Linked DNA regions of Cricetulus griseus. The protein of the gene in region 3 purifies or fractionates together with the protein of the main gene of each other region. This does not show direct contact. Links are inferred from orthologs where the notes say so. Each region holds a gene or a part of one and is shown on either strand. Other genes may lie near its edges. The genes, in order: Nck2, Strn4, Mink1, Strn3, Cnot9, Strip1 and Strn.

What was found.
Region 1: the proteins of Mink1 (region 3) and Nck2 purify together in Homo sapiens (affinity purification with mass spectrometry; 3 studies listed by BioGRID and IntAct, counting the BioPlex papers as one, with this or other methods). This does not show direct contact. The link is inferred for Cricetulus griseus from reciprocal best matches to the Homo sapiens genes MINK1 and NCK2.
Region 2: the proteins of Mink1 (region 3) and Strn4 purify together in Homo sapiens (affinity purification with mass spectrometry; 3 studies listed by BioGRID and IntAct, with this or other methods). This does not show direct contact. The link is inferred for Cricetulus griseus from reciprocal best matches to the Homo sapiens genes MINK1 and STRN4.
Region 4: the proteins of Mink1 (region 3) and Strn3 purify together in Homo sapiens (affinity purification with mass spectrometry; 3 studies listed by BioGRID and IntAct, with this or other methods). This does not show direct contact. The link is inferred for Cricetulus griseus from reciprocal best matches to the Homo sapiens genes MINK1 and STRN3.
Region 5: the proteins of Mink1 (region 3) and Cnot9 purify together in Homo sapiens (affinity purification with mass spectrometry; 3 studies listed by BioGRID and IntAct, with this or other methods). This does not show direct contact. The link is inferred for Cricetulus griseus from reciprocal best matches to the Homo sapiens genes MINK1 and CNOT9.
Region 6: the proteins of Mink1 (region 3) and Strip1 purify together in Homo sapiens (affinity purification with mass spectrometry; 3 studies listed by BioGRID and IntAct, with this or other methods). This does not show direct contact. The link is inferred for Cricetulus griseus from reciprocal best matches to the Homo sapiens genes MINK1 and STRIP1.
Region 7: the proteins of Mink1 (region 3) and Strn purify together in Homo sapiens (affinity purification with mass spectrometry; 3 studies listed by BioGRID and IntAct, with this or other methods). This does not show direct contact. The link is inferred for Cricetulus griseus from reciprocal best matches to the Homo sapiens genes MINK1 and STRN.

Annotation. Positions count from the first base shown.
Region 1 is NW_023276807.1:5,069,783-5,073,712, forward strand, and holds the start of Nck2 (cytoplasmic protein NCK2), read right to left. Parts: upstream 2,801-3,930; 5' UTR 2,665-2,800; exon of another isoform or gene 2,654-2,664; intron 1,896-2,653; exon of another isoform or gene 1,709-1,895; intron 1-1,708. UniProt on the Homo sapiens protein: Adapter protein which associates with tyrosine-phosphorylated growth factor receptors or their cellular substrates. Maintains low levels of EIF2S1 phosphorylation by promoting its dephosphorylation by PP1.
Region 2 is NC_048602.1:11,451,216-11,454,715, forward strand, and holds part of Strn4 (striatin-4), read left to right. Parts: intron 1-537; coding exon 538-644; intron 645-1,190; coding exon 1,191-1,264; intron 1,265-2,398; coding exon 2,399-2,477; intron 2,478-3,500. UniProt on the Homo sapiens protein: Calmodulin-binding scaffolding protein which is the center of the striatin-interacting phosphatase and kinase (STRIPAK) complexes.
Region 3 is NC_048600.1:84,406,482-84,409,981, reverse strand, and holds part of Mink1 (misshapen-like kinase 1), read right to left. Parts: intron 3,380-3,500; coding exon 3,314-3,379; intron 1,708-3,313; coding exon 1,651-1,707; intron 1,562-1,650; coding exon 1,436-1,561; intron 1-1,435. UniProt on the Homo sapiens protein: Serine/threonine kinase which acts as a negative regulator of Ras-related Rap2-mediated signal transduction to control neuronal structure and AMPA receptor trafficking.
Region 4 is NC_048598.1:150,631,855-150,635,354, reverse strand, and holds part of Strn3 (striatin-3), read right to left. Parts: intron 695-3,500; coding exon 521-694; intron 1-520. UniProt on the Homo sapiens protein: Calmodulin-binding scaffolding protein which is the center of the striatin-interacting phosphatase and kinase (STRIPAK) complexes.
Region 5 is NC_048595.1:427,755,696-427,759,866, reverse strand, and holds the start of Cnot9 (CCR4-NOT transcription complex subunit 9), read right to left. Parts: upstream 2,801-4,171; 5' UTR 2,415-2,800; coding exon 2,391-2,414; intron 1-2,390. UniProt on the Homo sapiens protein: Component of the CCR4-NOT complex which is one of the major cellular mRNA deadenylases and is linked to various cellular processes including bulk mRNA degradation, miRNA-mediated repression, translational repression during translational initiation and general transcription regulation.
Region 6 is NW_023276806.1:49,542,704-49,546,203, forward strand, and holds part of Strip1 (striatin-interacting protein 1), read left to right. Parts: intron 1-244; coding exon 245-371; intron 372-575; coding exon 576-676; intron 677-1,322; coding exon 1,323-1,389; intron 1,390-1,860; coding exon 1,861-1,965; intron 1,966-2,882; coding exon 2,883-3,087; intron 3,088-3,500. UniProt on the Homo sapiens protein: Plays a role in the regulation of cell morphology and cytoskeletal organization. Required in the cortical actin filament dynamics and cell shape. Part of the striatin-interacting phosphatase and kinase (STRIPAK) complexes.
Region 7 is NC_048600.1:5,360,587-5,364,086, forward strand, and holds part of Strn (striatin), read left to right. Parts: intron 1-872; coding exon 873-959; intron 960-1,435; coding exon 1,436-1,579; intron 1,580-3,500. UniProt on the Homo sapiens protein: Calmodulin-binding scaffolding protein which is the center of the striatin-interacting phosphatase and kinase (STRIPAK) complexes.

The DNA.
Region 1 (3,930 bases), on a different chromosome or scaffold from region 3:
ATGCAAAACTGAGAGCCTGGAATCGGACTACGGGGAGCTGGAAACCACCTTGTATCTGCTCTGCCCATTTTAAAGGGGCCAGTCTCTCCACAGGTGGGCTGATCAACTCTCAAGCAGCCAGGGCTCATTCAGCAACTCCCCACCCAGGAGTCGCTGCACATCTAAGAGGCTGAGAGCAAGGCAGGTGGTGGGGCTGTAACTCCAAGTTTTACGGCCGCACAAAGTTCTCAATTTTAGCCTCAGACCACTGGGACCTTTCTTTCTTCCATCAAAACTACATTAACCGACTAGAATGTGAGAAAGTTTAAGGTAGGACTGTCCCTTGTGGTCATTTAGGAACAATCCCCAAGGTCTAAAACCTTAACTAACTGAAGTGCACTTTCTCCTTGTGTCCACTGGCTGCCTTCGCTATATTAAACACGAATGTCTGTTTCTAAATCTCTGTATCTATAAACACTTGGAAAGTGAATGGAGGGGAGTGCCCACGATGTTTTGATAAAGTGGTGACCTTTACACTAGAAAACCACTGTTGATAACTATACCCAAAACCCAGGCTTGAAACACATGCAAAATTATTTTCATTCCTCCTCAAAACCCCTGCAGAAAAGCCTGCAATGGGTGAGGAGCAGCAAAGGAGTCTCCAGGCCATGCCCACTGGCCAATGGGCTGTTTCATTTGGGGTCAACCAAGGAGCAGGCCTGGGCACCTCCAACCCAAACTGGGACCTGTTCATCCCAGACACAGACTCAAACTTGGCAGGATTAGCCTTTAAACCTCTTAGCAAAATAAGGAAAAGTAAATAAGGGACAAACTGCCGACCTGAACAGGCTAGGGTGGCAGGGCCCACGCTATTTAGCGCCCAGCTGTGTCCCCAAGCTATTCACAATACTACTGTAAGTCACGTCTGCTATCCATTAACCACCACCCAGAGTCCCGCGCACACCTTCCGGGAGAATCGTTACAGTGTATAAATTACAGCGTTTTGCAAATCAAACCCCTCCACACAATGCCAAGCTAACAGTGCTCAAAAGGGAGGTGCCGTCGGGGCATTAAAAGTCCCACATCAAATTCTTGCAAAAACCACTTGCTTAAATCGCCCTGAACAAACCGAAGGGGCAAGGCGGCTGAGAGAAACTTTGGCTCTGGAGGTTTAAGCCTTGGGAATGAGGGGCAGGGCACACGGACTGGAACCTGGCATAAAAGCGCCCTGCACCGAGGCACGGACCTCTTGTATGAGACGTGACAGTAGCTTTGTGCCGGATCACTTATAGTTCTAAATACAGTAAGTTCTCCCCGGCCATCGCAGCCCCTAGCTTCCTAGCGCCGGGGCCCTTAGATCCCAGGCTATTCTTCCCAGGCACGCGCGCCCGGCGACCGGGCCACGGCTCGGTCCCACGCCCGCCCGCCCGCAGGCCAGGGCTGCTTGTGCTCCCGGGGGCTCTCGGTCCTGGTCCCCGGTGTCAGCCCGAGGAGGGCGCCCCACCCCCACGCCAGCCCAAGGCTGGGGAAGGCGAGGGCTCGCAGAAAGGTGTGTTTCCGAGGTGCGGGTACCCGGGGACGCCCAGGCCGCGGCGGGGCCGAGGGCACCAGCGGGGCGCGCAGGGGGGACGCGCTCCCTGCTCCTTCCCGGGCGGCCCCTGCCCGCCGGCCCCTCTCTCCCAACTCTACCGACCCAACCAAGTTTGCAGCCCCCCGCCCGTCGCCTTACCTCTCTATACACCGCACGCCGAGGCCGGAGGGCAGAGGCGCGGGTCCCGGGGCGGCGGCCGCGCTGCGCCCGCCCAAATGCCGCTCTTTGTCTACGCCGCTCCCTCCTCCCGCCGCCGGGCGGACGCTGCCGGCCCGGGCGGACCCCGCCGGCCGGGAGCCCCGAGCCCTGCCCGTTGCCGAGCCCTCCCCGCCGCCGCCGCCGCCGCCCGCTCGGCCGCGCGCCCCGGCCTGCGATCCGCGGCGGCGACCCTCCCGCGCAGCGCCCGCCTCCGCGCGCTCCCCGCCCGCCCGCGCTCCTCCCCGGCTGTCGTGACGCCGCCCAGGGGCCGGCCCAGCTCGGCGCGCGCCGGGCGGGGGACCCACCTGGGAGTCCCGGCCGGGCCCGGGAAAAGCGCCGCCTGCGGGCTTTAGGCAGCAACCCGCTCTCGATCGGAGTTGGGGGGCGGGCAGGGGAACGAGGAAAGAATGCAGTGCTACTTCCAGCCCGCTAGTCCCACCGGGTGGTCTCCGCACCCCCGCTGTGCCTTGGATTCTTACAGCGACCACCCCATCACCCCCCCTCCCCGAAAGCATTCCCACGGCACTCTCGGCCAAGCTGGCCTGGTGTCCGTCAGAAAAGTGACTTACATAAAAATGTCACTTCCTCCCAGTAATTGCTTGTGGGCATTTTCTTTATTTATTTGCCTTGCATCTATTTACTTTCCCAACCAGACACTTTTTTTACTCCATCCTCTCAGGCGGGACCACTTCCTAGGGGGAGGAGAGGAAACCCGACCTCCGCTGCCTCCCGGGCGCCCAGGCCAGCTCTATGGAGCCTGGGATTTCTCATTTAGCACAGGAGAAGGCTGGGAAGGCGCCCTCGCTCAACCAGCCTTGAGTAGTGGCTAACCTGTAAGCAAATTTAGAAAGCTAGAACCCTAGAACAAGAGGAAGGAACACATACGCCTTACACACCGGAATCCAGATGTTTCTTCTCCAAGCTCCTTCTCTCATGGTTCTCCAAAGGAAGCCTTAATATTCAAATGAATTCAGTTTCTGGTTGGGTAGCTCGCATTTATGTTAATGAGATTCTACCCTGGCCCTTGGCTCCTCCTTATCAAGGCAGAAACAATTCACCCTAAGTGGCCAGTCAGCTGCCTCCCTCCCTAAAGGAAGTTTCCAGCCATGGGTAACCTGAGGAAGCTTGGCTTTGTAATCATAGCACGATTGTAGGCTTCCTGAACTGTGTCACCTTACACGTGTCTTTCACAACCTTTCTCAACTTTATCACGTGAGATGTTTGCCTGCTTCCCATGTAAAGTATCTGGCACATAGCCCGACCAAAAAGCATTAGGTACAAAATCAGCATATCCGACATCCCCTTCCAGTCGGAGATGCTATCTCCTTTCATTCTTTTGTGCAGACCTCATCCTGCTAATATCTAGCTTTACAATAAGGAAAGCAGAACGGTAATCAATAGTTTAACCGTATTTAAAATCCATTCACTCTAAATAAGGTAGGACAATACAGACCCAGCTTTTTTAGCCTTTTCTTTGAATAGTGGCCTCAGACTGCTTCTCTTACTATTAAATCCCTAGGGAGGTTTGAAGAAGAATGGCTCCCATAGGCTCATATGGTTAATCCCCAATTGGTGAACTATTTGGATTAGGAGGTGTGTCCTTGTGGGTGGCGGTGTGTCACTGGGGGTGGGCTTTGAGGTTTCAAAAGCTAGGCCAGGCCCAGTGTGTCTCTCCACTGCATGCCTGCCTGCTTGCTGACATGCTCCCTGCCTTAATGATAATGGACTATGTCTCTGAAATTATAAGTAAGCCCCCAATCAAATGCATATATATATATATATATATATATATATATAGAGAGAGAGAGAGAGAGAGAGAGAGAGAGAGAGAGAGAGAGTCTCTTTACAGCAAGTCCCCAGGTCCCCAGTGGCATCTTGTATCTAAATTCAATAGCTCCTTCTCAAACCCTAGCCCATCTAGTTTTCCTGCAGACAGGTGACACTTTTGCTGTTGTCTGAAGTCCAGCATCTTGTTGTAAGGTCTTTCGTTCCCATTCTTACTTTTCTGGCCAGCCCGTCTCTGTCTGTGAGTAGTTGTCTTCCAAGCATCAGACAACAGTATTCCCAAAAAGGGTGTGGTGTTTTCATTGTGAGATGGATGTTTTCTGTATGTATGTGTGTGCTAGTGTTTATGGAGACAAGATGGCTTTTGTCTGGTATTC
Region 2 (3,500 bases), on a different chromosome or scaffold from region 3:
GTGGGAGCTGAGCCCAGGCTCCTACTCTTGTCCCTGAGTGCCAGAAGTAGCTTCCTACGCCTCCCAGCAACAGACGCTCTGAAGGAAGAGTGGGCTGCCGCCTCCACCAGCAACCATAGGGACACAGCTGTTAATGCTTAACGCCCCCGCCCATCCCTGACCTAACTCCTCAGAAGGCCATAGCCAAGTCAGGCCATGCTGTCCCTGTTTGAACTCCATGGGTTAAAAATGGCTCCTCAGCTTCTCTTTCTTTTCTTTTTCCTTTTCTTCTTTGTAAGGTAGAGTCTTAATCTTAGCTCATACTAGACTTGAAGGTGTAGCAGTCCCTTTGCCTCAGCCTCCCAAGTGCTGAGATTATAGATTGAGCTCTTTTATGGGTAGTAGACCCGGAGACCCTGGAGGTGGGCCCAGCCTGTCCTCTCTTCTTATTGAACACTGGCATCGCTGTGGGGGAGGCCCTGAAGCTGTTCCTGAACTGGGGAGGGAGACACAGCATCAGTGACCCTCAGCCATGCTATCTAACTTTCTCTTCTGTCCCAGGCTCAGGTGGCTTTCCTCCAAGGTGAGAGGAAAGGCCAAGAGAATCTAAAGACGGACCTGGTGCGGCGGATCAAGATGCTAGAATATGCACTAAAGCAGGAGAGGTGAGAGCTGCCCCTGCCAGAGAGGTCACTGTTTCAGATAGGGTGGCAGGCTGCCAGCAGAGGAAGTTTCTCCACCTTCCTCTTCCCGTCATCCCCAGGAGCGGGGTGAAACAGATTGTGGTGGGTGGATTCAGCTGCCAGCAGCAGCTTTAGGGACTTTGGCAAACCTGTGTGCACCAATTCTGGACAGCTGCTACCTTGCTTATTCTTGCCACAGTCTGATGGTGTTGCTGGCTGAGGTTCTGGGAAGGAACTGAGGCTCTTAGAGCTGGTACTGTGGGGCAGGGAGTGAATGAAAGAGGCCTGGGACTTGGGCTTTCTGAGGTGGTCTTTGCCTTGTCTGCTTTTTTGTCTTGTTTTTCGAGACAGGGCCTTTCTGTATAGCTCTGACTGTCCTGAAACTTGCTTTGTAGACCAGGCTGGCTTTGAACTCGTGGAGATTTGTCTACCTCTGCCTCCCAAGTGTTGGGACTAAAGGCGAGCGCCCCCACCACCCAGCATCGCCCTGTCTACTCATCTCTACTCATTTGTTATTTGCTGTTTTAGGGCCAAATACCATAAGCTGAAGTTCGGGACAGACCTGAACCAGGGGGAGAAGAAGACAGATGTGTCCGAACAAGGTACCTGCACTTGCACCCTCCCTTGGCCACGCTGGCATGGCAGCTGCTTGGCATAGAGAGAGACGTTGCAGATGGCCTCCTGTGCTTTCTTACTTGGCTCCTTGAAAAGCAGCAGTGGCTGTAGGGTGGAGTGGGGTAGAGCTGCATGCTGGTGTGTCTTCCCATCAGTCCTGTTTCAGACTGCCCAGCCCCACCTGCCTGCCATCCTGCTGTCCTCAGGGCGTGATGGACGCCCCAGCAGCTCCTGCTTCCTCCTGCTAGGGGAGTGAGTGGAACTATTTATGGCATGCTTTGGAAAGCGTAGGAAAGACGTCACTGAAGAGGTGGTGTTTGCACTGGACTGTCATTCAGTCATTTACCCTCAAAAGTTGATACATGATGTGTTTGTTGGCTTCCTGTCACAGGACAGGGGCACGGTGAAGAGCAGGATAGATGTAGTCCTGTTCTGTGGGCACTGGAGGAGGGGCCAGATGCCCATGGGAGGGAGGGGATGGGTGTTTTCAGGTGAGCACTAGTATCCAGGCAGTGCGGGTAGACGGTGTGTTTGGCTGTGCCGCTGATGCTGGGAGCTTGGTCTAGGGCTTTGTGAAGCCCTTGGCCTCGGGGTCAAGGGAGGGAGGTCATCTTCTCCTGCCAAGATGTGAGTTCTTGATTGGTGTGGCCCAGGCGTCTATCCCAGCCTTATAGATGCCCAGTGGATACCCGATGAGCAATGCACAGAGCAGGTTTCCCAGCCAGCGTCTCCTCACCCTGAGAGGTGAAAGCTGTTTCATGGGAAGCAGGCTTTCGTAGGTGCTCAGAGCTGCTCTAGGAAGTGCAGAGCCGACTCGACCCCAGCCTGCCCACTTTGTAGAGCCAGTCTGCCCACTCCCTGCATAGGAAGGAGCAGCCAGCCATGCGTGTGGAGGCACGGCTCTGTTATTGGGGGCGGTTGGCAGCGGCCAGTCAGAAGCCTAGCAGTGAGGAGAGCATCCAAGAGAGGAGTCACTTGGTGTGGGAGAGTGGGTGGAATGCACTCAGGAGGTGGGGACAAGGGCGGTGATGGTGGCAGATTCAGACTTGATGGGAGAGGATGGAGGGGTGACAGGAAAGTATCCATGCCCCGACTGAGACGGCCTCCTCTCTTCTCTCTAGTGTCTAATGGCCCTGTGGAGTCGGTCACACTGGAGAACAGCCCGTTGGTGTGGAAGGAGGGGCGACAGCTTCTGCGACAGTGAGTGAGGGGGAGGGGTGGGACAGGATGGGGCATGAAACACACAGCATACTTGGCTCAGAAGATAAGCCCAAGGAATCCACAGTCCTTCCTGTCCCCACTGGGACATGAACTATCAGGATCCCACACTGCCGTCACCCGACGGGAATTAGAGGGAAGACTTGCAGCAGGGGCCACCTTCCCACACCCCAAACTCAACCCTGCATAGTTCTCTGACATTTCCTCTTAAAAGAATAATGTTAGGGGAAGTTATTTTTTAAAGAGTAAAGTTAAATTATAGCAATAGTAGTACCTGGGTGCTGTGGGTTCAACCCAGGTTCTCAGAGGACCTGGTGAGCCCTGTTGACTTGCCCTCTGAGAGGTGAGCTGTCCTATGTCTTAAGAGAAGAGAGGCCCAAACAGAATTGGTGGACCACCAGCCTCCAGCCAAATCAGGATTTTTGTTAAAGATTTTAGCATTTTAGGATACCTGAGAAGTAAATAGTACCACTTCTGAGCAAATATGACCCTGTACACATTGGCATCTCCACCATCCACCCCAACACTTGGAGAGGTGCCCCGAGTTGAGAGTGGTGTGCTCTGTACTGTGTTAAGAGCCGGGACTCTGCTTTTACTGTTCTTAGGTTTTGTAATGCTTTGACTAAGTATTATCAAATCCTCTGTATAGATTAGCTAGGTTATATAATGTTCAGAATCTCATGGGTGGAATGTGGCTTAAGGGTTGAGCCCTTACTTACTGTGGGCCAGGCCCTGGAGTCCATCCCCCCAGCACCATAAAAATCACCACCACCGCGGGGCGGTGGGCGGTGGGCGGTGGAGGCGCACGCCTTTAATCCCAGCACTCGGGAGACAGAGGCAGGCGGATCTCTGTGAGTTCGAGGCCAGCCTGGTCTACAAGAGCTAGTTCCAGGGCAGCCTCCAAAGCCACAGAGAAACCCTGTCTCGAAAAACCAAATTAAAAAAAAAAAAAAAAAAAAAAAAATCACCACCATGTAATAGGCACCCTTCTGGAAAGCCAGAGAT
Region 3 (3,500 bases):
TTCCAACTGAGCTATCTCCTCAGCATGTTTTCACCACATTTAATAATTAGGGGGAGAAAACCAAAACAATCCCACAAATACCCAGAGTTCTATTTCATGACACATGAGAATAATACCAAATTTTTGTGACCTAAATATAAACCTGAGAATTAAGGCACAGTTATGTTTGGTTCTGTTTGAGTGAGGGTCTTTTTATGTAACCCCGGGCAGTCTCACACTTATGAAACTCCTGCCCTCAGCCTCTGTGTGAGCCACTATGCTCAGCTAGTCATGCTCATTTGTCTATGTACTATCTATTGCTTTCACAGAGTGTCAGCAGAACTGAGTAATGATAAGAGCAAACATGACCAAGAAAGCCTAAAGCATTTACTATTTGGACTTTTCACAAAAATGCTCAACATTCTCGATTCAGAGGCAAGAAGGGCTGAGTCTGCTAGGGAAGTTCATGGGGCTCCACTTAGTGTGCTGCTAGAGGGAGCAATTTTTTCCAACCGTTTTTCACTAAAATTGGCATCTAATTTAGGTTGGGACTGGTATGTTTGCTATGCAATCAAAGTTAATTTTCATGTGCCCCATCACCGGGACAGCACGGTGGGTGGAGAAGCAGTCCAGTACCCCATACATTAATATGAGAGTGTTTGGCCACTATTGCCTAGCTACCAGTTCCCAGTGGTCTCCCACTATACACAACTACGTGAGCTGCATGTGTCCCCCCAAATCCTTGAAGCCATTGAGACTGGAACTATGACTCATGCTCAAATTTGAAGGGTAGATAGAAGATGCTTATTAAACAGCTAGAGTCCAGCCGACTTCTAGCATGTTCTCCAAAACTCCCAATAGCCACAATGATGTCCTTTGCCACTCTCCCCTCAGCTTATGGGCCCAGTACCACAAAGGCTGAGGCCAGGAAATTGGTGGCACCAGTGTCCAAGCTAGGGAGCAAATGACTCTTAGGAATGATCTGGGCCAGGAGGTATTTATTTGTGTAGGCTCTGGTTCAAATCATCACCCAGAAGGGCTGTATACTGCCAGGATGGGCCTGAGTCCTATTGTTTCCTATAGCTACTTTGATTCTATGGCTCTCCCAAAATTGTTTTCAAAGGCACAAAGAACTTAAGAACTAAGCCACCCCTCATCTCCAACCACATCTTCTGGCTATGACCAAGACTCTATTGCTCACTCGTCAAGCAGTGCTTGCTGACCTGTCAGGGTAAAGTGCCAGGTGGAGGGGCCAAACACTAGGATTCCTGACACTAAACACACAAGGGAACAAGACCCTGGGCATACAGACTGAAAAGTAGAGTTCTGAGTGAGTCATGAGGCTCCTTTGGATCCATAATTAAGGCAGGGATGTTAGAACAGATATTGGCCTTGAGTTCCACATGAGCGGTCTGGAGCAGAGACGTCTGGGAGGGGCAGGAGGGGCATTTCTTACCCAGAGCTGGTCATCGTTCCCAGGGGGGCTTTTCTTGATAAAGGCCCCATAGTAGGTGGCAATATTTCGATGGTGAGAGTACTTTTTTAACATGTTGATTTCCTGTTTGATCTCTTCCTCCTCGTCCTAAGGCAAAAGGGGGAGGGGGGGTAAGGCCTGAGATCCTACAGTCCCTTTTCGATGCCAACCCCACCCTTCCCCACCTCATTTCCTACCTCTGTGACATCCATGACCTTAATGGCAGCCAGCTGCCCAGTCTTGACATGCCGACCCTGCAAGAAAGTCGAGTATAGAGAATGTGGAGAGGTCAGGTATATGCTCACTTAGTAAAATAACAAAGAGGAACTAATTTTGGGGAGAGCCCTGTCTCTTAGTGCTTTTCTACCTTAGAACATGCCCTTCATGTGGGCAGAAGCCTTGCTTTTACAGAGCAGAAGGCAGAGGGGAGGCCCTGAGCCATCACAGCTAACACAGAACAGCCTAGACATTTATTTCTAGGCTGTAAAGATAACGTTCAACAAAGAAGACAGCTCTTCTATACAACACCTGAGGTGCAGGATGGATGCCACTGCTCTGTTCCAGCAAGTTAGAAACTCCCATATCCTAATGCAGGCTGGAAAGGGGCTAACCCTCTCCTTCATCTATGTAAGATAAAATGTCTGGTGCTTTCCTGGCCAAGCCACTCTCGATAGAAGGCCTTTCCCTGGATCAATCTCATGCCCAAGGTGTTTTATGTTATCAGGGAAAGAACAGACTCACAGCTGAGTGTAGGAAACACAAGTAAGCAAAGGGACCAACTGGTGTGTGCTACACCTCTAGTCACCAGTCTTAATGGTGGGAAACCTTTCAGAGTGTTTGTGTCACAGCTTCTCTACCTCAATTCCAACCCCACCCCATCCACCCTTCTGAAATCCTTTGTTAAGAACTATCAATGGCTTGGACAAGAAAGTCCCAAGCTTCCTGAGCAGAGCAGGATGGGACAGCAGCCACTCATGGGAAGGACATGGGAATTGCCACCCCAAGTCCTGTTTTCTTCAGCAGCCACCCACGATCCCAAGTACAGAAAGGCACAGCTATCTATATGGACACGACTCAGCAGGAGCTGTGCACTGCCTGTTCCCCCAAAGCCCATGCTTACAAAAGGAAAGGGGTAGATGAAAGAAAGGCTGGTGGTCTCAGTGACCAGGAGACTCAGAGAGGCAAGACACCGGTGGAAAGAAATGTCAGGAGCCGTGCCCTGAGATAAGGAAGCAGACTAAATGTTCTGTGGACAGCACCCACCCTAAATATCCCTTTCATTGTGGAGACTTCATGTACGGGCAGAGCTCTGGCTACTTGAGAGGGCTAAGCTGGCCAAGCTGTAAAGCTAATCAGGGGTAGAGGAAATGCCACTTCTGTGGGAGGAAAAGCAGTTCAAAAGCAGGAGGCTGGGGCTCTGGCGTGCTCCCTGGGGCAAGCAGCTGCAGGAGGTCAAGAAAGCTGCTTCCTCTCTGCAGGCCACCAGTGAGGGCCCATCAACCCCAAGCCTCCTTGTGGGCTTGGGAGGTGTCAACCCACACTTCTGGCATGAATTGTGAATTTCCAGGTAAGCCCTGACACCCACATCCCCATGTGCTCTTCCTGCTTCCTATCCCACAACCATCAGCTGCAGCCAGGTTCCTGCCATACCCAGGAACATGTCTACACTCAGAGATGATGTCTCCCTTCTTTCTGTTGCTGCTCTCTGTAGTCTGTGCTTTTTTTCCCAATTTGAGGGGCTCCCAGCCTCTGTCATCTCCTATAGCTTCCCTCAGATTGCCAGTCCTGGGATCCACTTCCTCGGTTGCTCTAAAGAGGGCCCCACTGGTCTGAAGGTTGTATTTCTGTCCCATGTCTCACCTTGTATACCTGTCCATAGGTTCCATTGCCAACCACCTCCACCAGCTCAAAGATTCCTGCAGGGTCCTGGGAGGAGGGAGAAGAACAAGGTGTCATCACTTCAACAAGGACTGTGATGCTAGAGGGGAAGAAGCTGTCAATCAGGACACGAGTGGCAGAGAAGGGTAACACTTAGGGGATTGTGGAG
Region 4 (3,500 bases), on a different chromosome or scaffold from region 3:
CTAAGTTATAGGCCAGCCAGATCTACCTAGAGAATAATAAGGACATGAGCAATAGCCCCATAGGGTGGCAAACCCTTTCCAGGATGAGGCTCAGAGGGATGCAAGTCTTCCTCTGATTCAACTGTGAATGTTGACAGTGTGTGTAGAAATGTACACAGTAGCTTTCTACTCCCTTCCCCAGAAACTTATGGCCTGAAGAATGCTCCCATAGTCAGGGTTCCAGGACCCAAGAGACAGACATTTTATAGATTTCTTATGTAGAAAAAAAAAGTATCTTTAATCTGTTAAAATATTTCAAGTATTTCAAAACTAATCATGTAACAGACAATAGCAATAATCTTTACTGAAATTACTTTGAGTTCCTATGTATACAAAAAGGTGTCTTCAGTCATTTCATGTCTAACAATAAGAACAACTGCAGAAAAATCTAGCTAAAATTGACATTCACAATGAAAAGTCTCTGCCATACAACCACCTTTAATGTATGTAAAGTTAAACAATGTTAACCTACAAATCATACCTTTTGATTTCTTGTCCTTTTTGTTTAGGAGATTCACCACCATTCAGGATCTGTTCTAAATTCTTTGCTTCTATGGATCCATTTGGTTCTGAATTAGACAGTCCAAGTAATGACCTTACCCGTTGAGATCGTACATCTAGTATTGTATCTGTGTATCCTACTTCCTGAAGATACCTATCAAAAGAAAATTAAACATTAAAATTCAACATACTGGGGGTTAGAAATGGCTCAGGATTAAGAACACTGAATACGGGAGCTGGAGAGATGGCTCAGAGGTTAAGAGCACTGACTGCTCATCCAGAGGTCCTGAGTTCAATTTCCAGCAACCTCGTGGTGGCTCACAACCATCCGTTATGAGATCTGGTGCCCTCTTCTGGTGTGCAGATATACATGGAAGCAGAATGTTGTATACATAATAAATAAATAAATAAATAAACAAAAATCTTTAAAAAAAAAAAAAAAAAGAGCACTGAATGCTCTTCCAGAAGACCTGGGTTCAATTCCCAGCACCCACCTGGCAGCTTACTATTTGTAACTCCAAGATCTGACACCCTCACACAGACATATATGCAGGCAAAATACCAATGCACATAAAATAAATATAATTTTAAAAACAACACACTGTTAACACCTGCCACCATAAAATCATATTATTATTTTTTTAAGAAAACTCCATAATCACACAAAATACTTTTTCTTTGTCTCAATAGCTCCACTATAGACTAGTTCCAGTTCTAAGAGAATGATGTCAACTGTAAGTCAAAATTGAAATACAGGGGCTGGAGATAATGCTCACACAGTGGCTCACAACCACCCATAACGCCAGTTTCAGGGTATCAACATCCTGTTCTGACTTACGTGGGCACCCGGAACACATGTGGTACATATGCATATATCCAGACAACACTAGTACACACACACACACAAAAAAATAGTCTTTAAAAAAATTGAAGTAAGGTGGGGTGTTGTGGCACACACCTTTAATCAAAGAACTCAGGATGCAGAGACAGATGGATCTTGAGTTGAGGCCAGTCTGGTATACAGAGAAATTCCAAGATAGCCAGAGCTAGAAACCCTGTCTTGACAAAGCAAGAAAAGGGGAGGGGAGGGGAGGGGAGGGGAGAAGAGAAGATAGTGTGGGTACCTCTGATTAAGAGCCCTTTATCTCAATATCTAAAAAAGACTCAGAGCTTTAAAAAAGCTTTTGAAATACACACACACACACACACACACACACACACACACACACACACACGTATAAAGGCATACCTCCATCCAGACACATACATATCTTTTAAATAGGTATGTGAATTTACACACACACACACACACACACACACACACACACACACACACACACACACACACACGTACGTTTTTGGTTTTTCTTTTTTAATATCCAAGGTATATGAGAGAATAAGTAGACCTGAGCCTCAGAACAGCACCATGCTAAGTTCTAGGCCAGTGATTTGTCAAGGACTAATCCCCTTTTGGATCTCAGATTCCAAAGCATTCCTCTGGTTCTGTGGTTTTCAAAGAACACTTATCTAAGCCAAGTAATTAAGTTAGAATCCAATATGACATTGCAATCTACATGTGATGGAAACAATTCCTTTCCCTACCCTACCCTAGTCTCTAAACTTTGGTCTAAAGTAACTACCAAGGTCTTACACAACCTGGATAAAAAATGGAGGAAGGGGAAGCTGTCACATGGGGAAAACAAGTAGTTTTTCTTCAGAAGAAAACAATAAAACTAATTAACAGAAGTAGACAACCAACCAGACAGAGATTAAGACTGTGTCCTGGGATTTTCTCTGCAAGTTCCTCAAAGCTACCTGACTTGACCCGTATTATTAAGACTTTAGTTCAAACTCTGCTAATTATTCTAGTGCCCTTTCCCCTCAAAACTCTGTAGTTCAGGTTTTAGTGATGTAGAAGAATCTGGAAATGGGTAACAAATAAGATGCTTAAACCTATTATAGAAAGCAAAGTAAAAATTTGAAAGAATTCTAATCTCATGTTCTAAGTGGAAGCAGAGGATCACTACTGAAAGTATGAGTGATTATGCTGAGATATGGTATGAGTTTGGAACCCCCACTGAGGGCAGTAGGAATAGTGAATGGGGTATAGATCGAGGTTCTCTGTATGACGTAAGCTAGTGGTTAATATCATCCACTTGATTCTATTGCTTTTTTCCATGAGTTAATTAGAATTGGAGATCAGAAGGCAAGACTGAACTAAGGCTTTGGTTTTATTCATACTCTGGTGAAATTGACCAGTGGGCAGCAAGTGATCAAATGATACTAAAAAAAGAGGATGCATCATGTTTAAGGTACAGCTAAGGACACAAAGCAGCCACAAGTAGAGAAGATAAAGAGGCAAAAGGCAGATGAAGAAAAACAGGTAAATTTAAGTTAAAAAGCCTAACCAGAAACGAGCCTTAGCTAGTCCAAACATTCAAAACTCATAAGTCTCTGTATCATGATTTGGGAGCTGGTTGGTGGTCCAAAGGAAAAGGCCTGGTACAATCAAATGGCAAATAACACAAAAACTGGAGTAAAGAAAAGAATACATTTGGGTAGTGGTGGTACATGTCTTTAGTCCCAGGAATCAGGAGGCAGAAGCAGGCGGACCTCTGAGTTCGAGGCAAGCGTGATGTACAGAATGAGTTCCAGGACCTCCAGTTCTGCTTAGACAGAAGTACAGTAGTTATGAGTCATAACAATATAAAGGATCCACCTATACTCCAGGGCTATCAGCAGGATACAAACAGCAAAATTTCCAACTATAAAAATAAAAAACCACTAGATAAAAAGACAATAAATAGAATTTGCCACAGTTATCTTTAATACATCAATAGACAAGCATCAAAAGGTTTCCTCAAACCTTTCACTATAATCTAGAGACATCTCAGTGGTTAAAAGCACCTGCTGCTCTTGCAGAGGTCCTGGGTTGAGTTTCCAGCATCACAAGATGAGAT
Region 5 (4,171 bases), on a different chromosome or scaffold from region 3:
AGAACCTAGCCAAAGACCAACTATTTAGTTTTGGGGGTTTTCTTTTCCTCATTTACTTACTGAGTACGTGTATGTGCCATGGTGCATGTGTGAAAGTTAAGAGAATGACCTGTGGGAGTTATTTCTCTTTTCCCACCAGTGGGTTCTGTCAACAAACTCAGGTCACCAGGCTTGGAGGCAAGCATCTCATCTTTTTTTTTTTTTTTTAAACATCAGTAGCATTCTACTTTTTTACATGGTATGAGCATGTGTGTGGTATATATATGTGTGCACAGAGAGCTCCTCAATCATTCCTGGCCATATTCCTTCCAGGCGAGGCTAGTAGTTAGCAACCCCTAGTGATTATTGATTCTCTAACCCCAGAGCTGTCTGGGGTTGCACACATGGGAGTCACAGCTGACTTTTTATGTGAGTGCTGGGATTTGACCTCTCACCTGCTTAGCCATGTCCGTTTATGCCCTTACACTTACTAATTTTGTAAATAGCCCTTCATTGTTTTCTGCCCACGATAGGAAAAAAAACAAAACACTTTTTTTGATAACAGATATTAGAATATATTCCATAATGACAAGAGCACACTACCTCAGTGTCTTTTGCTACTGTTTCTCTAGTAAATAACACCTGCATTCATTGCCCTTTAATAGTACTTCCTATCTCCCTAGCTATATATAGTAAAGAGGAACAACCCCCAAACTGACTCTGACCTCCACACATGCACACCCACAATATGAACACATACACACTAGTTTTCATTATTAAACAAAAACCAAGCGCCTTCTCAAAAGATTTAGGTTTTTGTGGGTATTGCTGCATGTGATCCTAGTACATCATAATTTTGTTTTTCTTGCTCAGATCAAAATAACATAAGGAGTTTGGATGCTTATGGGAATACGGGATTATGAAGGAACTGCCTCAATTTTTTTTCCCCTCGAGACAGAGTTTCTCCGTATTGCTTTGGAGGTTATCTTGAAACTTGATCTGTAGACCAGGCTGGCCTCGAACTCACAGAGATCCTCCTGCCTCTGCCTCCCGAGTGCTGGGATTAAAGGCATGCGGCACCAACGCCCGCTGCCTCAAATTTTTATTCTTCAGTATCCTCACTAAATATCCTACCAGATGAGTGGTACAAAAGAACTTGTCAGAGCCGCCACGTGGGTCAAACAGCATAACAAATGTTCAAGTTTTTTAATCTATGTACAGCACTGCAAATATAATTGAAGAAATACATACTGAGAACTTTTTTTTTTCCGTTTTGCCTTGGCAGCCCTCTATTTGTTCTGTGAAACAAGCTGGCCTCAAACACAGAGATTCACCTGCCTCTGCCTTCCAAGTGCTGGGATTTAAAGCATGCGCCATTACCAGGCTTGTAAGTGTTCTTAAATTATCCCTCTTTCCATACGGTTGTCAGAGTGCATAGTGCTTACCTTGTAGGAACTGTTCTAGCAGTGGGAAAACCAAGTAAACAGAATTCACACACACACACACAATCCTGTCCCTGACCCCGAGAGGGAGACAGACATCCCACAAGTTAAATAATCCAGTAATTACACACTGGAAAATCAATACAAGAGTAAATGTTGGGGTTAGAAGCTACTGTGAACATGGTCAGAAAGTCACTCTGGGGACAGACTTGTATGTATGGAGGCAGTCCTAAGAAGGACAATTCCAGGCAAAGAAACTAGAGACTGTGTCATTCAGTGGAAAAGTGCATGCACTTTTGGTCGGAGCTTAAGGAGCAAGTGACAAAAACGGAGCCCATTAAAACGTGACTAAGGACCACATCATACGGGGCTTGTAGGCCAAAGCATCTACTTTCTCTAAAAGTAACCAAAAGCCACAGGATGACTTCAGGGAGGTGTAATACGGCGACTAGCTTTTCTTGTTAAAAGATAAAACGAGATGTGCGAGGAAGGCTTTAAACGCAGAGGACCGTAAGCCAGAAGGAATCATCCTGAACTCCGGGGCTCCGGCTTTTGAGCTAGAAGCCGTGTCCTTCCCACTGAGATTGTGCCTAGGCGACGTGTTCCCGGAGCCGGGGCCCAGAGCGAATGGCCATGGAATGATATTCTTATCCCCGCCGAGGCCCGGCACTCGACCGTGGCCCCCAGAAACTGACGCCGGGCTCACGTGAATCAATGAATGGCCTGCCGAGGCCGCGCGGGGACCAGGCCGCGGCGCCGGAAAAGAACGCGAGAGGCCGCGCGCAAGGGGCCAGGAGAAGAGACGGACGCGGCGGCAGGGATAGCTGGGAGGGTCGGACTCCGCCACGGCCAGGGCGCCGTGTGGAGACTCCCGGACCTCGCGGCCAGGGGCAGAAGCAGCTGGACTCGGGGCCCGGCTCCGGGAACTAGGAAGCGGGCTGAGACGGGCATCCGGGCGCAGCCACTCACCGCCGCCGTCGCCAGGCTGTGCATGTTGGGAGCGGCCGCCGCTCTCCTCCTCCCGCCCGACGCGCCGGACCCGCGTCCCAGCTTCAGCGGCTGTGCAGCCGGAGATGAAGAGCCGCCATCCGCCTCCGGCTCGCTCCTCCCCCTTGGCAGCCCTCTGACCTCTCACCTCTGACCCTCCACCCACACAGCCCCTTCCCGCCTCCTGGCCCTCGGCCTAGCTAATAGTCCCAGAGTATGTACGCCCTTTGACACTCGAGAGTCAGGATCAGAACGACGTCTGCAACCTACGGGTCCTAGTAACCCCCCGGCATCGCAGGTATATCCCCAGAGGAGCGCGGACCCTGACTTCCCTCCTAAGGCCAGAGAAGGGCGGGAAAAGGCCGGCGGTATGGAAGGACGCGAACTGCGCATGCTCCACCGGGCTGAGCCGAGCGAAGGGAAAATGGTGGGAGGTCCGAAGTCGGTAAAATGGAGAGTGCGCATGTGTCCTACGGTTCCGTCACGGCAGGGGCCGGGCCGCCCGGGTGAGGGGCAGGGCTCGGGGAGGGGCGGGCCGAGGGCTCGGGGGCGGGGCTTGAGCGCTGACGCGCACGCGCCCGGACTGGCTGCGTCGGGAGTGCGTGCGTGCGTACGTGTTTGCGTATAGTCACAGTTCCCGCCATCAGCGGGTTTAGGAGTGTAGAGGAGAGCACGGCCTCCCTTTCTGGGTCCAGGGGAGCCCCCTTCCTTCCGAGCCCCTCGGCTCCTCCCCCTCTGCGGAAACCCTGTGCTTCTGGCTGGCCCGTCCTAGGCTGGGACCCTCCGGCACAGGTAAGGCGGGCCGGGACAGCCTGTGAATTGAGCCGTTTTCCCCAGCCTCACCCCCCCCCCCCCACAGCCGGCGGTCCGCCCACTCCGGAGTTCGCCCGGCTGCTGCTCAGCCCGCCCCGGGTCCCTGGACGCTCCCCGGGTCCCTTACAGGTGCGCCCATTGGAGTGTCTCCCCTCCACTTTCCCTCTCCTTCAACACGGTCCGTATTGCCACTCGCTTTCCGCGTTCTAAGCCCGGCTCCTGTTGAGCAGGGCTGCGGTGGTCTCGGCTTGCCTCCTAACAAGGCCTGCTGTCTTTACAGGTGACTTCCCGTGGCCACACACCAGACCTTGGATGTGTGATACTCATTCGCCCTCTGGGCCCTTCGTTACTTCCCTCCTCCTCTTAAAAACTGTTCATTGAAAGTCAGGGAGTGGAATGCTTGTCGTGCATTTATTTGGTTGCCTCCAGTATCTAGCCAACACCGGCGATGTCCAATTTACCAATTTTAAATCAAGTTCCCTGTCTTTGGAGAGTTGTGCTGTAATGGTTTTCGGGTGTATTTTGGCGAGCTACAGTCCCTTATGAGTCCAGCTGAAAGAGAATATTAAGGAGCAATTTGGGTTTATTGGGTTAAAGGTAAGAGGAAGGTTCTGGGCCAGACATACAAATAAATACATGTGTGTTTGTATGTTATGTGAGTCACTTGCCATGTTAAATTTGGGACATGCCTATGCATGACATTGCCTAAAGAAGAGTACAAGTGCTAGAAAGGAAGGGTGCTTCGGCAGCATTGAGATGATTAATAACGTGTAATAACGGGTAAAGAGAGGAAAGAATAGCGTTGCATACTGGCAAAAGGTAAACAAGGGACTTAAAAACCTAGTGACAGATGTAATCAGTTGTCTTGGTGGGAAATTTGTCAAGGTAAAATGACTTGGCTTTGGGCTGGGGTTCTCTTCTGTTGCCCTTCCATTTCTCTCTATATTCCA
Region 6 (3,500 bases), on a different chromosome or scaffold from region 3:
ACTGTCACTGAGTGAACTTCTAAGTAAATCAGGAACTAGATGGGCAGCATCATGGGGAAGATGGAAGTTGTGTCTGGCTGGATCATTTGGGAGATGGGTAGATGGGATTCCTAAGGCTGACCTCTGAAGTGTTTGTGGGATTTGGTCCTTTACCAGAGGGTTCTGGAATCCATCCCCACTATGGATGCCTAGGCAGAAGGTGCTGTGTGTGTGCTGGCGACTCATCAGGCACTTGTGTTTCTAGCACCACAGTGTTGCAGAGCATGAAGCTGGGGGTGGATGTGAACCGCCACAAGGAGGTCATCGTTAAGGCCATTTCTGCTGTGCTGCTGCTGCTGCTCAAGCACTTTAAGTTGAACCACATCTACCAGGTACCTGTAGGGTCTGTCTGCCTTCGTGTGCACTGCGCCTGTGCCTCAGTCCATACTGCTCCCTAACCCGAGAATAGGGCTTGGCTTTGAGCCCACTTAAGCTCTCTGCATGAGCATTCTAATATGAGATTATCCAGCCAAGGCTTTTTGTCTCTAGAGAAAAGAGAATAAGAGGCATGCTTATTTTTCTTCTGTTGGTTTCAGTTTGAATACATGGCTCAGCACCTGGTCTTTGCCAACTGCATTCCTTTGATCCTGAAGTTCTTCAATCAAAATATCATGTCCTACATCACTGCCAAGAACAGGTGATAAGGACCAGGGCCAAGAAAGGGTAGAATAGGCAAATGGCAGGATTTCTATCTGGCCTCTCCATTGAGACTCCTCAGCAGACATTTTTCTGAGCATCTATGAGTCAACACTTTGCCAGGCATCAGGAGACAAAATGAATGACAGTGTGTCTGTTTTGAGGTTAGCTAGTCTAGTGACTTTGTTTTTGACCAGGAGGCTCTCATCCTAAGCTCCAGAATTGCCTTCACTACTACTTCTATCCTTCTTCCCTTTCCCCTCACAGTTCTCTGTAAGGAGCTTGGCCTTCCTTAACACCCACCTTGTGCCCGCTGGACCTGATAGCACCTGCTTATCAGTGTGAGACATCACAAGGGAAGTGTCTGGGTAGCTGTGGCTTCTAAGAGAGCTTGGCATACATCAATTGTCTTGAGCCCTACCTCCTAGATTCATGTTATGGGGAAAGCTGCAGGTTACTAATTAGATTATAAACTGAACCTGTCATAGGGAAACTTTCCACATGTATTGTAGCAGATAGTTCCTCATCTTATAGTCAGGGTTAGAGCAAGTAAGGTAGATTGCTACTTCTGCTTCAGTTTAAATCATGGCTACTGACAGACCCAGCCTTTACTCACGGTGCACACTGTGTCTTCTTGCATTCTTCAGCATTTCTGTCCTGGATTACCCTCACTGCGTGGTAAATGAGCTTCCAGAGTTAACTGCAGAGAGTCTGGTGAGTGGCTGGGATTGCCCTGGCTATTCCTTTGTTATGAGGGTTGCCTCCTGCAAAGCAAAGATAGAGGAATCTTTCAGATGAGGTCACCTTTGGCTTTTAAAATGCCAGAAATGGCCATAAAGTTGGGGAGGGATTTTATAGGGCAGAACACCTGGGATAGGTTAGGGCTAGTCAGGGAGCATGTTCTGCAGGGGCTGCTGACCTAGAACTTGCCTACTCAAGCTGCTTGCATCTTCCCACTGAAGTCTGGGGCTATGGTTCCTGGTTTTATGGCCCATGCTTCCTTCAGGAAAAGTCTATTGAGTCCCTGCTTCTCTTTCAACTTGTGGGATGGAGTTTCCCTTTGGCTGTGAGACAGAGAACTTGATGCTAGAAGCATTGACACATGGCCACTGTGGTATATTTGTCAAGGCCATTGGACACTGCTGAGCAGCCTGTGGCTGCTTTTCCTTTTCCTTTTCCCTGCAGGAAGCTGGTGACAACAACCAGTTTTGCTGGAGGAACCTCTTTTCTTGCATTAATCTTCTTCGGATCTTGAACAAACTAACAAAATGGAAACACTCAAGGACCATGGTGAGTCACTGCTGCAGCAAGTCTGGAACTGGGAACTCACAGAGGAGTGCCACGTGCTATGCCTCCCCTCACCTGGGGCAGGGAGTCCTCAGGGTGGAGCTTTTGTTTTTTGTTTGTTTGTTTTAAGATTTTATTTATTATATATACAACATTCTACTTCCATGTATATCTGTACACCAGAAGGGGGCACCAGATCTCATAACAGATGGTTGTGAGCCACCATGTGGTTGCTGGGAATTGAACTCAGGACCTCTGGAAGAGCAGTTGGTGCTCTTAACCTCTGAGCCATCTCTCCAGCCCCTGATTGTTTGTTTTTTGAGACAGGGTTTCTCTGTGTAGCTTTGGAGCCTATCCTGGCACTTGCTCTGGAGACCAGGCTGGCCTTGAACTCACAGAGATCCACCTGCCTCTGCCTCCCAAGTGCTGGGATTAAAGGCATGTGCCACCAACGCCTGACGAGGATGGAGCTTTTGAGGCAGCATTGTCCTTACTCAGTTCTGCAGACATCTGGTTCTTGGTAGAAGCAGAAGCTGGTAGAGACTCTCAGTCATGCACTGAAACAAATCCACCCTTACAGATACATCTTCCGTAGCCTCTTGATCCTGATTGGGAAATGATAGTCAGGGGTCCGAGAGCCGCCTTATCCCTGATCCTGACCTTTGGACAGGGCAGGTCCATGAATTCTCAGAAAGGAGATTACAGAGTGACCCATAATTAGGGTGACCAACCCTTGTGGTTTGCCGTAGCTGTGCTAGTTTTAGTGCTTAAAGTTTTCTCTGTGTACCAGAAAACCAGTGAGTTTAGGAGAAACTGCATGGCTTGTCGCCCTGTTCCCTACCTGGCAAGTGTTAAGTGACCATGTAGTGGCACACACACTTACTCCTTTCCTTGCAATGGCTGTCACTGTGTCCACACAGATGCTGGTGGTGTTCAAGTCGGCACCCATCCTGAAGCGGGCCCTGAAGGTGAAGCAAGCCATGATGCAGCTCTATGTGCTAAAGCTGCTCAAAGTGCAGACCAAATACTTGGGGCGACAGTGGCGCAAGAGCAACATGAAGACAATGTCTGCCATCTACCAGAAGGTGCGACATCGGCTGAACGACGACTGGGCATACGGCAATGGTAAGGCCATTTGGGAAGCAAGATTGGAAGAGGGTGGGACAAGGCACACTTTTGACTCCTTGCCTCTGGTACCTTAGCTGTTTCTACCCTGAGGCACAGACGGGGCCTGGCTAGCTGGGCGGTGGTGGTGCACACCTTTAATCCCAGTATTTTGGAGGTAGAGACAGGCGATCTCTGTGAGTTTGACACCATCCTGGTCTACAAGAGCTAGTTCCAGGACAGGCTCTAAAAGTACAAAGGAAAACCCTGTCTTGAAAAACAAAAAACAAAAACAAAAAAAAAAGGAACCTGGCTCTAGTTTTTGTGGCACCAAGAAGGGAGCACCAGGCAAAAGTGGAAAACTGCTCAGTGTCTGTGGTCATCTGTTTCTCCATCTCTCTACTCTAAATCATGTCTTTTCTAGAAATTGCCAT
Region 7 (3,500 bases), about 79 Mb from region 3:
TTAACATTAAAGCAAAACTATTTAATCCCTTTATTCAAATATGCTAAAAAACTTTAAACTTAAAATATATATTGACACATGAATTTCTATGGCTTTTAGAACCATTCTCAAGCTAGTTAAACTAAAATGTTGAAGATAATTTGTATATCGTACATTAGAAATTATTTCCAGACTAAAAACCAATGTCGATGTATTTTTTGGGCATATTATGTTATAAAATTAGTATGTTGGGATGTAAAGATTTTTTAATTAGAAAGGTAGCCAAGACTTCTGTGGAACTCATCTCCTCTTACATTGTGATTAGAGTTTAGCCTTTCAGATCTAAACCTGCACCATTTGACTGGAATAGTATTCCTACTAGCAGAAGCAATTGAGTTCCCTGCTCCTGGGGATTGATAACTATATTTAAATATATAGCACATGGGCTTTTTAAATGAAGAAGTGTTAACTCTCTGGGGAGAAATGTGAATGATTTGCACTGACGATAAGGAGTGTAGACTAAGGCCAGCACATTTTATTTATTCTTTTCACTTGTTATTTGGTTAAAACAGTAATATGAGGACAAGTGAAGACCTGTGATAAAGAGGAAAATGAAGTAAAGCTTTGAATTGGTATAAGAAACATTAATTTATAAGCCACCAAAATATACTTTTTAATTGAGCTGTTACCCACTGTAAACTTCTTGTTGTTTTTAATTGGTCTACTGTAAGTATATCCAGTCAAATTGTGTACTCCAGTCACATTATCTTTAATTTTCTAGGAATTAGTTAAAATAGCTTAGAAATAGTTGTATTCTTTGCTATGGTATGTATAGGAAATACCATAACGGACTATGGGTAAGATTTTCCCATTCTTAATTAAACTTGTAACAGGAAAAACTACCGAAGATCTGTTTCAGCCTCTATCCTATATAAAACAGTCAAAACAGGGATGTGGGAGAATGAAGAATCAAAGCCCAGGTAAGTGACAATAGGGCATGAGACTTCACTTTGGGTTCCATAGCTGCAGGATGTAAGGCAATGAATGTAACTTAATTTAAACAAGCAGAGACGTTATTTTTCAATTGAGTTTACATTTGGTTCATGATCTGTGATTGTCTTCATTTAGACCAATAGTCATTGGGTTCATTGTAGATGAATATGACTTTTAATGATACATATTGGACATGGCATTCTTTTTCATGTAGTGATTCCATTAACTTAATTTATAAAACATGTATTTAAATATCATTTTTTTCCAGAAATGATAAACTCTTAAACTTTGAAAACCTCGAAAATAACTACTTCTTATTGATCACTCTAGTAGGACATTTTAAAGGTGAATGTTGGCAGATGTGAAAAAGTTTATTGTACAGTTTTTATGAAATGAGTGATTCTGTTTTCTCTTTTGTTTTTTCTCCTCTGCGCCCCCCCCCCCTTTTTTTTTTTTTGGCTAGGGCCCAACAGGTCAAAACTACAAGACATGCTTGCTAATTTGAGAGATGTAGATGAACTTCCTTCATTGCAGCCGTCTGTTGGCTCCCCTTCCAGACCCAGCAGCTCTAGGCTCCCTGAGCAAGAGATCAGGAGGGCAGATGAAGGTGAGCACCTGGACCTGTGGCTGGTACAGGCACCTTAGAGAGCACCCAGCCCGCACACACTGCTTTCTTAAGTCAGTGGGGATGACTCCAGCTTCGGGTGAGAGGCATAAATTTTAGAACTGCTCTTAGTTTCTGCTTTGGAATATGCCCTAGCTCCATTGACAAGAGTGGTAACAGGCTTATTCAGTTCAGCCTTGAGAAAATTGAGTCTAAAATTGGTACTAAATGTTCACTGTGAAAGTCAGCATACTTAATTTATCATTGATTTTAAAAATGAAGGAACACCAGATATGGTGATACATGCTTTAATCCTAGCACTCAGAGGCAGAGGAAACCAGTTCTCTGAGAGTTTGAAGCCAACCTGTCTCCAGAGCAAGTTCCAGAGCAGTCAAAGGTGGCATAGTGAGATCCTATCTCAAAGCAACAGCAAAATGGAGGGAAAGTTACCTGGTTTCTTGCTTCCCATGTTTCCATTGCCTTTCAAAAGTCCTTATCCACTTGCATATTTTTTTAAACATAATTACAGCCATTATGTAGAATAGCTCTGTTTTGTTTTATGTTTAACATAAAATCATATGTTGATAATTTTTCAAGCTCAGCTTTAATGCTACATATTACACTTGGTGATAGAGCATGTTCCTATCACACAGAGCTCAGTTTTAACTCCTGCACTAGGGTAGAGGAGTGAGTGAAGGAGACAGATGGTGTCCCCTTGATGTCATATTAGAATTCCAGTTAGTTTTTTAAAAGCTCTTTAAGGGCATCAGTATTTAGTTACCCAAAGCACTGTAACCTGTTTCTTAACTTCTGAGGCTAAAGAGAACAAGATGCCTACCTTCTTAGAGACATGATGTGCCTGTTGCTTTCTCTGACTACTGACTAGACCTTCTTAGACTATTAGTTAGTACTAACCCATGCTGTGGCCAGTCTCAGGAGACTTACTGTTTCAGGACAAGCGAATTTATAGAAGTGGGCTGGGCAATGGTGGTGTACAGCTTTAAACCCAGAACTCAGGAGGTAGAGGCAGGTGGATCTCAGTAAGATCAAGGCCAGCCTGGTCTACAGAGTGTAGAGGCAGGTGGATCTCAGTAAGTTCAAGGCCAGCCTGGTCTACAGAGTGTAGAGGCAGGTGGATCTCAGTAAGTTCAAGGCCAGCCTGGTCTACAGAGTGAGTTCCAGGACAGCCAGGACTGTTACCTAGAGAAACTCTGTCTCAAAAAACAAATGAGAGAGAGAGAGAGAGAGAGAGAGAGAGAGAGAGATTAGAAATGAAAAACAGAATAAACTAAAGACAACTGCTGAATACCTAGTCTCCCAGGCACACATGAAGTATTTGATATTTTGGCCTGAAAATTACTGTTTGGACAGTTTCCACTATGCAAACACTAGGGTTCTTTGAACCCTTCAAATGACATGCAGCATTTAGATGAGGCTCATTTTTATTAATGCTACTCTTGTGTGTATGTGGTTTGATAGTGGTTTAATTTATATTCTATTTTATTCTACAGTAACTGTCTTTTTCCTGATGAAGATTTTGAGTTTCTGTTACTACTACTAGGTTTTTGTCACCATTTATCCCTGACTAGCCTGAGCTGGTTAAATAGACCAGGCTGGCCTTGAGGTTCCTCTGCCTGTGCCTCCAGAGTGCTGGGACTAAAGGTGTGCACCACCACACCCAGACACCACTACTGTTTTAAGGCCAGCTATTAAAAGCAAGCAACTATTATTTAATGTCTTCAACAAGTACCTATTATTAAACATGATTAACTGTAGCACTGAAAAACAACTTTTAAGTCTGTTGTGTACTGGATATAATTAACTCACTTCTTTGTTTAAAAATAACATCTCTTTAGCAAATCTTTTGAATTGTTAAATTCATCTTAAATATTTGTAGTCAGTGAAGCAGCCTCTGGAAAAGGCA